2 linked regions of the Lepisosteus oculatus genome follow. The protein of the gene in region 2 purifies or fractionates together with the protein of the main gene of each other region. This does not show direct contact. Links are inferred from orthologs where the notes say so. Each region holds a gene or a part of one and is shown on either strand. Other genes may lie near its edges.

What was found. The genes of interacting proteins can lie anywhere in the genome.
Region 1: the proteins of pop4 (region 2) and rpp14 purify together in Homo sapiens (affinity purification with mass spectrometry; 3 studies listed by BioGRID and IntAct, counting the BioPlex papers as one, with this or other methods). This does not show direct contact. The link is inferred for Lepisosteus oculatus from reciprocal best matches to the Homo sapiens genes POP4 and RPP14.

Annotation. Positions count from the first base shown.
Region 1 is NC_090699.1:56,404,532-56,412,573, forward strand, and holds the start of rpp14 (ribonuclease P protein subunit p14), read right to left. Parts: upstream 3,414-8,042; 5' UTR 3,310-3,413; exon of another isoform or gene 3,265-3,309; intron 2,736-3,264; 5' UTR 2,728-2,735; coding exon 2,633-2,727; intron 1,717-2,632; coding exon 1,632-1,716; intron 1,100-1,631; coding exon 1,023-1,099; intron 762-1,022; coding exon 683-761; intron 1-682. UniProt on the Homo sapiens protein: Component of ribonuclease P, a ribonucleoprotein complex that generates mature tRNA molecules by cleaving their 5'-ends.
Region 2 is NC_090715.1:6,023,818-6,031,764, reverse strand, and holds the start of pop4 (ribonuclease P protein subunit p29), read left to right. Parts: upstream 1-4,649; 5' UTR 4,650-4,724; coding exon 4,725-4,731; intron 4,732-5,149; coding exon 5,150-5,202; intron 5,203-5,568; coding exon 5,569-5,792; intron 5,793-6,271; coding exon 6,272-6,349; intron 6,350-7,190; coding exon 7,191-7,252; intron 7,253-7,425; coding exon 7,426-7,527; intron 7,528-7,637; coding exon 7,638-7,774; 3' UTR 7,775-7,947. UniProt on the Homo sapiens protein: Component of ribonuclease P, a ribonucleoprotein complex that generates mature tRNA molecules by cleaving their 5'-ends.

The sequences.
Region 1 (8,042 bases), on a different chromosome or scaffold from region 2:
TTGTTTGTTAAACAAGGCTGTCTTTATTTATTACTATGACTTAGATGAAGATCAGATCACATTTTAGGAGCCCTTCATGCAGAAATCCAGTTAATTCCAAAAGGTTCACAAACCTTTTCTCACATATGTATATCTTATTACATACACAGCCCTTTGTGTATTTTTCTGTTGAGTCATTCATCACAAGGCAATACTACAAACCTATTGCTGCCATCTGTTGTTCATTTTTTGCTCTGCAGTCTATGAAGAACAAGGCAAAATTTCGGTGGTGTAAATTAGGCCTAAGTGAAATATGTTTTTAATGTTTATAATTCCCATGTGTGCTGACATTAGTGTGCTGTATTTAATGTATGTAATGTAGTATGTATTTAATGTACAATCAGACTGTAAGACACACAAAAGGCAAATAAGCTGTATGAACTGAGGCTATTATTATGTAGATAAATCTGTCAATAGAGTGTGCTCACACTTTGTAAGAAAATAAAGTTAAAATAATTCAAATATGATTACTGGAAAGCAGACAAAATACTCATTCCCTTTGTTTTTTTCCCACAAAATATAAAATAGTCCACAAAATATAAAGAACTTTGCAAAACACTGAGCATTTACATGGTGTAACTTTAAAAGATGGGGAATATTGTACATTCAAAAACAAATTGGCTATTTCAACTAATTAACTCACCTGAATAATCCTAAAGGCACATGGTTCATTTTGATAGGATCCTAGTAATGTCAGAGCACTCCACAGTTTCACAAGGCCACTGGAAGAAAAATATTTGCATAGTGACTCAGAGGAAGGGCTGTGGACAAACACCATTGTCGATCCTGTACATTTTAAAATACATTTAAAAAAAATAAATCATAAATCATACATATAAATAAATTGTATAACCAAACAATAATATAAAAATCTTGAATACACTTCTAATTGTTTTGAACTATAGGACATTTGACTCGTTGACTATTTTTACTATGCTTGCTTCCACATTTTTCATTTTTACAGACAAGCAATATTACTTTACCTGCTCAACACTCGTATTATCGCTTTCAGCGTGTTCTCCTCAAATTTTAGAACATCGAAAGGAAAGGCGGCTCCAATCTACAAAACATCTGTGTTATTTGTGTCTATTTCTGGAGTTGCCCATTAAAACAAAACTGCAACACACGTTAAACATATCAAGCAAAGCTAACACCTTTCTCTTTATTTCACAATACACTTCCCTTAATGAAACGCTGATAAACATAACTGTGCAACAGATATTTGCACTCCCCTTTCCTTTCTGAAGCACCTACTTTCTGGTATTTATGGTCATGTTCCCATGCAAAATGCTGCTTGAAAATCAAATACAAAACACACAAGGATTGATAGTAGCAAAGACACTATATTCATCTATTATTTCTTATAGAACAGAGGATACGCGTTTCTTCTAAAATATGGCCTAAAAGCTGTATGAACTGTACTGTATTATTCTGTAGATCCATTTGTCAACAGAGTTAACAAATTATTAACAAAATAAATTTGTCAATTTGGGTAAAAGTCCATTTAAATATTTCCAAACTGGGTCTGTATATCAAGATGGAGTCTAGCTCTGTATATCTGGTACATCAAACTTATATTTGCATTTACATACCTCTCCATACAGGTCTCTGAGGGCTGAAATGATCAGCTGCTTGAACTGGGCCTCACTGAGTCTTTTGTCACTGTCTTGGAATACTCTGTAAAAACAAGGCCAGAGTTTTCCACCAACAGAGAAGGAAACAAAATTCTGCCCTGTCTGCATCTAGAGAAAAGTCGCTTAGATATTTGGCAATGCATTTCTCACACCTGCAAAATCACAGCCGAATTCTCATGAGAGCTTGATTTAAAAAAAAGAGGGATGATTTAAAAAAAATGTATTTATAGCAATTTGTTTTCTAACCACTTGATCCAATTCAGGGTCATGGGGCAGCTGGAGCCTATCCCAGCAAGCAACGAAAGTGAGGCAGGATACAGCCTGGGCCAGACGCCAGTCCATTGCAAGGCAGAGACAAACGCCTACACTCAGACCAAGGCCAACATTCCTAGAAGTCAAATAACCTACCCATTAATCCTCCTATGGACTTTGGGAAGAAACCAAAGCACCCAGCCAAAACCCACACAAACTCAGGGAGGACATACAAACTCTATGCAGATAGCACCCCAGGTCTGGAATTAAACTCATGGCCCCAGTGATGCAAGACACCAATACTAATCACTGATCCACCAAATCTCCCTAGATATTTCTATACATCTTTATAATAAATTTGAACACATTCATATTGATGTGTAGGATGTTAGAAAAATAATCTTCAGTTTTAAAATCAAACAACAACACCGTACATCAGTTGAGCAATACTGGTCAGAGTTGAACAATGATTTCCAGAACACGTCTGTGAACATTTTAGTGTAAAACCTAGCTATGGTGTAAATTACGATACAATTAAAAAAATATATTAAAGACATTGAAACAGCCTGGAAACAACACTCGTTGCTATTATCAGATTAACTGCAGTACATTTAATGAGGTGCCAGGTGAGCGTTCATGCGTGATCAAACAATTTGTAGGAGACACCAAGAAATGCTCGTGAAAACAAAACATGCCGGCACACTCACAGGGAGATCCTCAGATAATGGTACACTGATGCATTCTTCAAAACAAGCCTTTCATAACTTGCAGGTTCCTCCTCCTGTTTCCCAGAGCGTCTCATGCTATTTCCTTAACAAAGAGAAAAATCCCGTAATCACACAGCAGAAAATAATGTTCTGCACAGATTGCACGGCCCTGCAATTCCACTGTGTTTGTTAACTTTAGAGGAGCAACATAACGTATTGCTTTGGGTTTAAGTGAGAAACTTTGTAACCATGCAATAACAAAAAATAAAATTACAATACAGCAACAATGTGTGGTATGATCAACTCACACAGTTGTTTCCTAACAATGTTAATTTAGTCAACCCCGTTATATTCTGTAGCGAGAAAGTAGTTTCTAAAAGCTGCTTTATTTTTGCACCCTTAATTCACGATTTCGCGAATGTTATAGGAAAAAAGACTAAAAGAAATGCTGTCAGTATTTCGCAAATATATCATTCTATTAATAATAATAATAATAATATCTGCGAGATTTTCTGTGAGAAGACATTATTACTTAAGACAGCATTTGCTTTTGATTCAGTGTTGCAAGGCAGAAGCTAAGAAAAAGGCTCCTAATGATACAGAGCAAAGTAAACAGATTTGTAGTACTCAACATGTCAGAGACTGGTGTTGGTTTGATTAAAAATTCTTCACATTACCTGACACCTTAACTCAGATTAAACTCCGCACTGTAACCACGTTTCAAGTCGTACTTCCTGTTCTACAGCCTTTGCAGTCCGACCTAGCTCTGTGCTCGTATACAGTTCTGTACCTAATGTCCTCAAAAGGTCCATATGACGTCCTAATATAAATCAAATCTCAGTCCACGTCTCCAGTAGTAAATAAATAAAATTATCTTTACTTTCTACATCACGGAATTTAATACACGGAAAAGCATTACGATTCGTTATTTCGGCTAAATTGTTTGGTCACTTGTGAAGGATTGGTCATTTAGACATCATCATAATAATAATAATAATAATAATAATAATAATAATAATAATAATAATAATAATAATAATTGCTTACACTTATATAGCGCTTTTCTGGACACTCCACTCAAAGCGCTTTACAGGTAATGGGAACTCCCCTCCACCACCACCAATGTGCAGCATCCACCTACATAATAACATAATAATTCTGCTCCCAAATTTCGTACACGGCTTTACTCCACCTTAATATTTATTCTTAATATTTAAACTAAAGTTTCTACAACATACAAAAATACTGTCTTTCAGAAAACATTTTAGTTACACTACTAAAAGTGGAGGCAATTCATTGTATCCACCAGTTAACTGATATTAAAATGAAAGTGGGTGGCGCAGTGGTTAGCTTAACTGTCTTGCAGTGCTCTGGCCCTGGGTTCAATTCCTGGGGAGCTACTGTATCTATGTGGAGTTTGTGTGATTTCCCATGTGGGTTTCATCTAAGTTCTCCAGTTTCTTCCCCCAGTCTACAGACATACTGGTGGTAGGTGAATTGGCTTCTGGGATAATTAGCCCTGGTGTGTCTGCATTTGTACTGCCTTGTGATGGACTGGTGTCTCATCCCTGCCTTGTGCCCATTGACCCTAAATTGGAAGAAGTGGTTAGAAAATGGATGCACAACGAAATTAAGCATGTCACATCTTGAACAACAGTTTCTATTCTCGTCATGAGGAGCTTATTACTAATCATAATACTATTTACATACACATTTCTACAGTAATTACAATAAAATATTAAAAATGAGAATTGTTTCTATATTTTAGCACAATGAAAACTCCATAAAATATACCAATAAACACAATATGGTAATTGTGTGCAGTACAATAAATACCTACTATGGATAATTTTCAATACTTGCTTGAGACTTATATACAATTATAATACCTAAAGAAAAAAAATCTTGAGGACTAAGTTAATTTTCAAGGTACACTATATAGTATCTCAAACTCCATTCCTGCAAGGCCCAGTGCCTTCTGATTTTTGTTCTGATCATGTTCTCTGTTACATTTATTTATTTAATTAATTATTCAATGTAACATTTCTAACATGTTTCTAGGTGATTTCTACGCAACAGAACCTTTAATGAAGTGAACGTCTGGCTCTTGCCTAGTCAACTAAAAGACCTTTTGAAAAATCCTATATATTGTCAAAGCTATAGGAAGTGGCTATTGAGGAGTCATAAGAATTAAAGACAAGGATCGACACCTGAGGTGTTCTCTGACTTGTAATGGGTCTGGTTTACCTTGGTTCATTAAATTCTTGGCAAATAATTAAGAGTCATCAACAGTCTGGGAACAAAGACAGAGAGAGGGTAAAAAGAGAACAGGGAGGAGATGAGGCAGACTGCAAAACACAAGGAGAGAGAAAAAGGAGTGCCAGGCTACAGGTTCTGGTTTGGATCAACCAATGAAGACAAGATTCTAGATAAATATTTGAACCTTGTTAAGAGAGTTTGCCATTCTGTTATTCTCAGGGAACTTTTATTTCTTGTATATAAAATCCCTAGATTAAAAACAATCTCACCTGGTCAAAGGATGCATTTAGGGAGATGCATCCCATTCACTTTGTAGCATCTGGATTTATAGAGGGAGAGATTTAACTGTAGGTCTTTAAATCTTTAATTAAGAAGGCAGGCTTAGTTCTTCACAGTTGACCTGTGAGGGCATTATTTAGGATTGGTGCATACTTTGTGAAAGTAATCTGGGTTTTTTTTTCCAAGACATGAAATGTCTTGTTTATAAATAGAGTAATTTGAATGTTTTATGTTGTGCATTTAGTTTATGTTGTTATTTTTTAATAAATATTAGTTTATTCCAATTTGTGCCTGAGTTGACTGAGCTGTGTCAGAGAACAAAGATCTCAAATGCCTCTTACTATACCAACCTGTTGTGTATATTCTTGGTATAATCTTTACAATTAGTCTATTATTCTTGATTATCCCACCCAGTATTGTTTGTTATTCTCTATTTTCTTAACCCAATATTTGTTAATTATCTAATTAAGAAAAGACTTAGGGGAATTGGCTGACTACTCAGGTTGGAACAAAAACCAAAAGACATCCTGTCCAAAACATCAAGTCAACAATCCGAACATCAGCAGGTATCTGCAGGATTGTTCCAGTTTGCTTCAGTGCAGCACAGAGTGTAGGCCAATAGTTGTAAACCAACCCTGGTTAATGGAGAGCTGGAATCTAGCAGGTCTTTTGGGTCACCCTCACATTTCTGAAGACTGAACACGTGCATTCTGATCTATTTAGGGGGTTAACTGGTTCAGTGAAATCAGGATAAGAAAGCTGTGGTCCAAATGACCGCTCAAAAACCGAATTGAATAGCTCACCCTCTCCAGTGTTTGAGATACTCCAGGTGTTTAGGAATTGGGGGGGCAATGAGTGACCCATCAGACCTGCTGGACTGTGATTCTCAAGGACCCGGGTTGGCCATCCCTTGGTACAGACAAATGTCAAAGATCTCAGAAAGGGGGCAGAGGGCTGGGGGAAAACACTGTTCTGCCAAGATGTTCTCTGCAGGAAGAGCCCAGATGCACTGAACAAATGCAATACATCCTTTTCAGACAGGAAGGCTTATTAAGCTTTTCTGGGCTCCAGTGACTGGTGTTTTAGAAAAGATGACAGAATAGACAGTGGTACAGTAAACAAAAGAAACAGATGAAGGTGCAAAACTGTTTGATTTGCATTATGATATCCTTACTTGGTTTTGACTTGGTCCTACCAATTGTGCATTTTTTCACAACCATACAGCTTTGTGCAGAGAATTCAGAGCACAATAAAACACTTTGTAGCTCATATAGGGTTTTATGTCATGGCTGCAGGAGGATTAAAAGCAGTGCTCTGGACTACAAAAAACGATACTGTTAGTCCCTGCTTAGAGAATATACTGAGTGAACTAATTAAAAATATATTCTGTATTTGAATGTTGAGGGTCAGGTTTTTGCTTAATTGTGCTTCACAGTCTGTATTGCATTCAGAGGAATAGTGATTTCATTTACCTGTGGTCCTGGATGCAGCATTATTTAAACAGAGGTAAAATAGAATGCTCTAAAAGTTTAGCTATATACAGTATAGTTAAGCTTATACACATGGGTAAAATATGTATTACACTTAACCATCTTCATTTCATAGTATTCATATTTGAACTCCTAAATCTGTAGTTCTTTTGAATGTATTTTTATTTAACACATGAAAATTAACATGGATATCTGTCTGTGCTCTGAAATTAAAGCCAGACCTGGTTAGGCAGTCTGTCAGACTGAGACTCTCCAACTGTTAGGTATGACCTCTGTACCTGGCCTGAGATGAGCAGAGACATAGACGTTTCACAGGAAATGAGCAGGCATGCATTTTCTGTTAGTACACGCTGAGAAATATGTTGCAAATTTTGGATTTTTAGCAGTGGAAGAGACAAATTCACTTAATTACGCTAAAGCAATTTTCTTGCAGTTACAGTATGTCAACCACCTCCCAGACCTCCACTGTCCTTAAATCAAGAACACTTCTGTTACACTATAGTACTGAATACATTTAAAAATGTACATCATTAAATAGTTTCCCCCAGTTTGCTGCCTTATCTTAAATGAAAGAAAACACAGAGATTCAACACTTCAGCTCAAGGGCTACAAACAACACTTTATAAATGCATAACAATCTATTAAAACTCTAGTATGCAGTAATAAATAATTTATATATGAGAACGGTCAGACATTTGTTACCAACTAAACATTAGTAGTTGTTAGTTCATACCAGGCTAATAAACAAGCTGTTAATGCTATCAACTATTACAAGAAACAAAGACTTTAAAATAGTTCAAGTAGGTAGCTGCGTCAGCATGCGCAGATTGCAAAGGAACAAGTAAAGGTTTATTCCATGCTGAAAACAGAAGAAAAGAAACACAATGCTTCAACTGTGGAGCCTTCGGGTGTGAGAAAGGCAGGAAAGTCAGCAGGTAATAAAGCATGGGAGAACAAAAGCCGGGAATGGAGAGGAGGAGGGAGGAGAGCAGCAGAGTGGGCACTCAGGTGGTGCGAAGTCGAGAGAGGTGAAGAGGTGTGAAGTCAAAACCCTCAAATGAACAGAGAGGATTTGAAGGAAACGAGTCAGTTGTTGAGAGAAGGGGGAAGGTGTGATAGTTTCAGGATAATTTTGGTTTCGGATGTCTTTCTGCAATAGTTGAGAAACCCTTCTTTGAGAACGCAGACAGAGAGATCAGTGTGATCATGACCACTGGAGGTGAAATGAGAAACTATGGGCTTGGAGAGATCTTTGATTCTCCAGCCCTGACATGTTCTCTGAAGAGGTCTCCCAGTCTCCTTCCCGTTTCCCCAATGTAGATAGTTGGACATTTTCTGCAAGAGGTGCAGTAAATAAGGTTGCTGGAGATACAATATGTCAT
Region 2 (7,947 bases):
AAAGTAGCCAAAGTCAATTACAGCTACTACTGTATGTCATTCCTTTTGTCTGTGTGCACAGAGGTAACACCAGTTCACTCGAGTTTAGCTGTAGAGTGAGGCAAAGTTGTTAATGGAGAGTGATGACAATTTTAAAATGATTTTGACTGGCTGTAGGACAAGGCCTAGTTCTTCGAATTTTAAATGCATTTTATGCAGAAGCAAACCTTTACTTGGGGAATGTTTAACAAGAAAGTTTAGTATTATCAGCTAGCATTTAGCTACCAGACACATACATTTATGTCAAGCTCATTTCACCAAAAACTTTCAGACAAAGCAAGAAATATTTGCTTTAAATAATCACTTGAAATACTTGGAAAGTTCAATGTAAGAACATTGTAATGTGGGAACAACATACAAATATATACACATTGAGCCCATTTGTTTTTTTTTTTAAGATGAAAGCATAAGAAAAGAGGAGAAATTATTGTTCCCAATTTGCTTTTCTTTAGAGGAACTGTAATAAACATTCTAAAGTTTGTGATAATTTGTTCCATTGTTTGTATCAAATCCACAGGATTTCCTTTAATTAGTTTAAATACAGTAAGTCTTCACTGGTAATAATTTTTAAGGATAAATCTTTTTACTTTTATTCTGTAAGTAGGTATATCTTCAGTTTGTTCTGAAAGCCACATGTAATTGTTCATAGATTTTCTTCAATACACATTGAAAAGGCAGATTTGTCTTCCTGTTCTTAGGTATTGGTGCAGTGTCTGGTTGGTACAGAGAGAAACGGAAAGGTCAGACAAGCCTAGAGGTGATTCAGAAAAGCTGAACAAGTATCATGTGAATTACACTTGGTCCGTGACCTTTCGAACAATCAGAGTTACCATTCCCTGTTAGCTCTTCTAATTCAGAGATTTTCTTAAGCCATGAGAGCTCTTGTGCTATAAAACACAGATAATGTCATTCATGAAAGACATATCAGTTGCTTTCTCTTGAGCCCAGTAAGACCTCAATGCAAGAGAAAAACAAGTTGAAGCCTACCAACGACTGACAAGAAAGGGACAAGATGTTAGACTTCTTTTAAAAAATTAGTTTCACAGATGATTTAAAATATAAATAAAATATAAAAATATATAATATAAAAAATATAAACAAAGTAAATCTTGTAAGTATAAATCGTGTAAGGAAAGGATATCTTTTTTTTTAAGTCTGTACTGCTGGAAACAGTTTTTATTTCAGCAAATACTCCACATTTTAGTGGAACAAATAACTGATAACATTTGCAGGCTCAATGTATAGTATATCATCTAATTTTATTACACACAACACAAAGCATTGCCCATTTATTCTTAGCACTATTTAAACCATAAACATCTTTCTTTTTATTTCTAAATCAAAGTTTTAGCTCAGGGCTGACCAATCCTGGTGCTGAAGGGTAGGTAGGACTGTAGATTTTCCAGGTGTATTTAAAGCACCAACACCTGAAGAGATTGAAGAAGCTGACAAATGAGTCCAATTAAGACAATAACAAGCTGATTAAGGTCGTTCAAAGCCCAGCTGGACTGAAAACCTATAAACACACCAGCCCTCTAGGACCAGGATGGGGAGCCCTGCTTTAACCTTTACGTTTCATAATTTAGAAATAAAAGCTGGGCAGACCATCAACTCTCTTGATACTATGTAACTTAAAATTTTAAACCAAGACCAGCCGTTCAATGCTTTCACCAAGCTGGTGTACAAGAGTTCAGAGCAAAAAGGTTTATTCTATGATAAGCTTTTAAGCCTGGTGCTTTCATTGTGTTTATTGTATTCACAAGACTTGTCACCTTTATGTATTACAAACACTTGAGCATTCTTATCTTTTATTTATAGGCATTTCAGGTCTTTTCATAGAAACTGAACAACCTCCACTCTGTCTCTATGTTTCTTCCTGACCTTTTCCTCCTGTCTTGACATGGTATTATGAACACCCATGCCATACACAACACTACCTATATTAGCTCAAGATCATGTGGGCCATTGCTATGGCTTTATGCAGACTATTTCTTCTGAGCTGTCAGACCTGTATTCATTCCATATCCATGCTGAAAGGCAGACGGAGAGACAGACAAAGACAGGCAGTAGTCATCAGGTCAGAGTGAAATCGTCCCCAAAACACAAATGTTTGTATTCAAAGTCAAAAAAGCAATTCTCTCAGCAAATCGTCTAATAAATTTCCAGTCATGACCCATCCTGCTTCCAAAAACATTTACGAGACGACAAGGCTTTGGTGCGAATTGAGTGTCGGTTCAAACACCTGCTCTCTTTTTTTTCCCCCGCTGAAGTAGGGATTATAACACATGGCAATCTGGTCACACAGTAATCCAAATACTGCAATTAATAGCTAAGTAATGTAACCACATTTTTCTTTGGTTAATGAAAAAAAACAAAATCCCTGTCTCTTAGAACTTAAAAATCTACCCTGCCTTTCAAGCTTTTCCTAGTGTGATGTATTCCTACAGTATGTATTCTTAGGCATATTTTTAATTTATCCTTAAATCTGATTAGGTAGTCGTTAAAAATGAAAAGTGCACTTAATGTGGTTTGAAATGCCACAGGAGATGAAAACTGGTAGGTTTAAGTGCACTCAAGTTTGTCGTCAGCTTTCCAGTAGCTCAGATAAGTACCCACGGGAAACCCTCACTTTCAACTCACATGGGCATTGGGAAGCACTGTCCCTTTAGAAATCAATACAACATTGTTTCCCCCTGAGTACGTTCACTTTTCTCTTGCAAAATTTGCTTCCTTAAGCTTTATTTTGCTATGACTAAAGCTTGCCATTTTTTCAATAATAGTGCAGCATGGGAGGCGAAAGCAGTGTGTGACAGGATCAAACCAGGATCACCAGCACTGCAGGCAGGCTTGTTACTGCGTTTCTAAGAGGTCTGGCCCGCCTGGCAAGGAGATAATAAGCTGCTACATGACTCTTACCTCTCTGGAACTATACCAGGGATGTGCATGCTGCTCTGTTCCCTGCTGAACTGCATTATACCTCCTTATTGGCATGGGCTTCCTCCTGCCATTGATGTCCTGTTTAAAAGAAGGTTTTCTGGGAATTGAACTTGTATCGCTGGTGTCATGGGCAAATCTGTTGCTGTGATTCCCAAAGGTCAGGATTACCCGGCATCTTGTTTTTGCTTTTCAAGACTTTTACCAAGTGAGGGCAATGATAAAATCAGAATAACTTAAAAGTCACTGAGAAACATTTCATTTTCTGGTAGAGGCATAGTTGTTAAGCTCAACTTAAATATTCAATCCATCCATATTTTGTTATTCAGTCAGCTTTCATACCTCAACAAATTAAATGTATACTGGACCCTTCTATTATTTCATAGCCAGGGTAAATGAGTAAAAATGTTTGCCTATGTACAAAAAAAGAAAAATACCTACCTACCTGCTAATATGTTATATAAATATATTTAGGTTATAAGAGTGTGGAACAAGCTACCCACTCATGAGGTTGAAGCTGACACCTTAGCTCCATTCAAGAAATGGATGGATACCCTAATTCCCAGATGGGATAGATCTTCTTGTGTGTAGCCTTTTTTAAAGTTCTTATTAATTAAACCTAGTTCTGGACAAAATCAACATTCTTTCCACCAGGGATCTTCATCAATCAGTATGTTCAGTCTGTGTGTCAAATGAATTCAGCCTACAATGTTATATATATATATTCAACTGAAATAATTATTGCAGAGACACATAATGGTTTAGTAATTGCTTTTTAAGGCTGTCATGGTGCTCACAAATATTGCACATTCTCAACTACAGTTTTTTTTTCCATTGCTTTGAATGTGCAGACAATTAGACATGTTTATCTCTGTCTGGGGAAGATTGTTTGCAGCTGAAATGTTTCCACTCAACAAGGCTGTAATTCTATGAGCAATAAAAAATATTTTGTTGGTACACTTTTAAATTACTTTTCACCTTTGAATAAGGAATGCTTTTGGGACACAGAAACATAAAACCTGTCGTTTGCAAATAGATCAGAGTGGCACGGAGTGTTTGGAATACAGAGCAGTACAAAAAAGGAGGTTAAAGGATATTAAAACAAATTTCAGATTCAGACACGAAAAATAATATGTGACTCAAAACTAATATGACATGGATGGATAGATGGATGTTTGTTTATTATGCCTTCCAGCTAGTTGGGGCCAATAAAATGACATACATATTAATATTTGTTTTACAGACGTCTAAAACGTAGCCATGATTTGTGTGAGAAAATAGTCAACACCTTTTTGTTTACCACTGTCTTCACAGGCCCTTGAATCACACTGCGTTTAATTATATTATTAAACAGAAGAAAAGAGTAGTTTAGGTTTCAGCACTTAACAGAAACTATCCCTGTACTCTTCTACCGTGGGAGAGTTTAAAGCACATGTACTGCCTACCAGAGTCACTAAACTAGCATATACCAAGCTAATGCTTATTAGCTTATACGCTAATACACGGATCTTAAACAAACAAATGCATAGTTCATAATATTCAGCTCATAATATCCGTATGTAAAGTAAAATAATTAATTTTCCTGTGGATTGCATACACAGTAATGCTTAAAATTAAACCTACCTCGCAATCGACTAATCATGTCTATGTGACCACGTGGTGCGGAAGTACTTCATAGACGCAGACTCACGTTGTGGAGTGGAGTTGAGTTTAAATTTCAATGCAGAAAGCATAACGAGAAGCACATCAGAATGGAATGTAAGTCTGGCTAATTTTGTAAAGAAAAACACGTTTAAACCCTGATCACTAGGTGTAAAAGCTATTTCTGTAATCACACACTGTTTCTAGCTTCATCGAAAAAAATAGTTTTCTTCTCGTCACTCACCTTTTCAAGCTTCAATAAAGTATTCGTGTTTTGCAAACAAAAATTGGATATTAATAAATGTACTTAAGTTTACATGTACAAACGGTTGAAAGCCTATTTGTTTTCAAACTTGAAAAAATGTCAAGGTACGGTTTAGAGTTGAAACAGTCATATCAAACCCTTCCGTGCTTTTCATTTGTCCAGCTCGTATTTCTATGCAAATATCAAACGGGTTGTGAAGGTGTGCAAAGATATTCAAGTTATTCTTCAATTTTTTTATTGTTTTTGTATTATTTTGTATTATTTTTGTAGGTAGTGTTCAGTCTGCTCTACCAGCTAAACAGGCTGCAATTCTGGGCATCCAGGTAAATTTATTATTTTCAGACGTGCTGTCCTTTGCTGCCCTCTGCAGTTTTTGTGTACCAAAAAGTGGAGACTTCACACTTTTAAGCTGTTTTGCAACAGGGTGGGGTTTGTGCTTTTAGAAATTGAAAATCTGATCTTTTGAGTGTTTTGTTCTGTTCTCCAGAACATTGGCAGATTCAAGATTAAACGTTTTCTCTCATTTCCATTCTGCTTTACATATGAATTCCACTTGTGAGTTACTACTACAAATCTCTGAATTAATTTAGATTAAAGGAAGGCATTGCTTCCAATAGGGAGGAAGCGCTGAAGTGATTTGTCTCGTTCACTGCAGCAATAAAAACATTTTCTGCTTGTCTTCATAACAGTCCCAAGATGCCAATCAAGCAGAAGCTTTCACAAACGCATTTCTGAAGAGGAGCATGCCAAGGCTCAAAGAAGAGGAAATCCAGCAGTTTTTGGTTCGCAAGGCAGTGGTACTTGAGCATGCCTTCAAGAGAGTTCAGAAGAAAAAGAGGAAGAAAGCAAAAGGCCTAAATGCCAAGCAGAGGAGGGAAATGAAAGTATTTGAGCTGAAACCCGAGCAGCAGAAGTCAGTGCAATTACAGTTTATTATTTTTATTCAGTAATGTGTGAAATGGTAGAGTGAAACTCTTCATTTTGTTTTTTAATTTGAATGCAGAACACTTTGCTTTAATGAAATGGGAAAAGGGGGCATATCTTCCATCTGTTTGTATTAACTTTTATTAATCCTATTTAGAGAGGTGGGGAGCTGTGTCAGTATGCGAGCCGCAAAGGAGGAAGTAGAGGTTAATTGTACACTGACATGTATACAGAGTAAAAAAGATACAGGGTTTTAGTATGAACACCTAAAGAAAGCTCCACAGCCTTCCTTCATATTTTAGTGTGGAATTAACATCTTTTTGTTTGGTACAATTTATAAGGTATGATAGAAGTGCAGTAAATGGATTAAATGTGAATTACAATTAATTTTTGGAGTAAGGCTATAGAACAGGTCACCTGTTGACTCTAGAGATGGAAGGATGTCTTTTATTAAAGTTGTTTTGCCAGGTATGAACTCTTCTTGCCACTACATGAATTGTGGAAGCAGTACATGCGTGATCTTTGTAATGGACTCAGACCAGAAAGGTATGACTGCATGCTTAATTTTAAAAAGCTGTCAAAACAATAAACCATAATGCAATCAACAGCTGTCCTATGTTTGTTAAGGGTGGAAGTAAGCAGATTTTGGCATTAGCTCACTAGCAAAACAATAAAAACAACTTCTTAATTTGACAATGTTAACACATAGACAGGTACAACAGGTTTAAGCTTTCATTATCAGAGAGTCACCTTCTCTAAACTCCTTCAAATCCAGACTCAAAACTTTCTTTAGAAGAGCCTTTACTTAACTGGTTCCATTCTTCACTCCTCTGCTTTTCTTAGTACCACCATCCACGGTCTCCTCTGCATATTGTAATTGTGTTTTATCTTGTGTATTCTTTTTATTTATTGTTGTTGTTATTCTGTAAAGTGTTATAATTGTATGATTGATACATTATGTTTTCTAATATTTATATTTTTAATATTTCCCTGGGTCATGTTAAACTGTAAATCATTGACAAGAAGGAGAAATCTGTTACGATTTGATAACTAGTACCACAGTGAGCACTTCAGGGAACTCTTTATTTGCTTCTTTAGGATGATTCCTGAAGATCATTATGGAAAATATATTCAGTTTTCCTAGTATGATAATTCTTTCTCATCATTTCTTTATAATTTATATCAAGATGTCACAAATTGTGGCTTAAAACACTAGTATTTTAAGACCATAACTGATACAAGGCAGGTTCTTCTATTTCACCCTTTGTCCTATTAGTTCCTTTAAAACGTTTTACCATTCAGAATGGATAAAGCAAATGCACTGTATAAATGAAATTCTGTCTTGCAGTTAAATCAGGTTTTTCTACCACTTTTAATTTAATCTTAGCAACCCTCAGATGATCCAGAATAAGCTATTGAAGGCAGATTTCCATGGTGCTATTATAACAGGTAATTGTGTTGTTCTTTTTCTTTAATCTGACATAAAGATACATAGAATTCTTTAAGCAAAATAAGTACTGTACATTCTAGTTTTAATTTTTCTCATCAAAGCTTCCAATCAAAACAATAGCCTTAATAATCTTTTTTGGAAGTTGTGAATAAATATCTTCTTTTTTTTCCAGTAGTCAAATCTAAGTGTCCTTCTTATGTGGGCACTACAGGAATTCTTTTACAAGAGATGAAGCATGTGTTCAAAATTATCACAGAAGAGGACAGGCTGAAAGGTGTGCATCAATTATCCATCAATCTAAATAATGTATGTTTTAATGCTTTGTTCAGAATTTATGTTGTAAAGTAATTTCTGTTTTTTTGTCTTTTTTTTTCCTCCCTACAGTTATCCCAAAGCGCAACAGTGTCTTTAGTGTGGAAATTGATGGATTCATTTCCTATATCTATGGCAGCAAGTTTCAGCTCAGATCAAGCGAGCGCTCAGCTAAGAAATTTAAAGTGAAAGGAACCATAGACCTTTAATTGAGAGCCAATGTAGCTGAAGCAGCCTCTTAGGAAATGTCACCAGTTGCTCCACTGAGACTAATGGAAAGAGATTTGCAGCTGCCAGGCAAGATATGAAAGAAATTCAGCTTCTCGGAAAAGGCTATTGATTAGCTTGTCTCTGGAGAAACATCTTTTTTTAATGGCAGTCA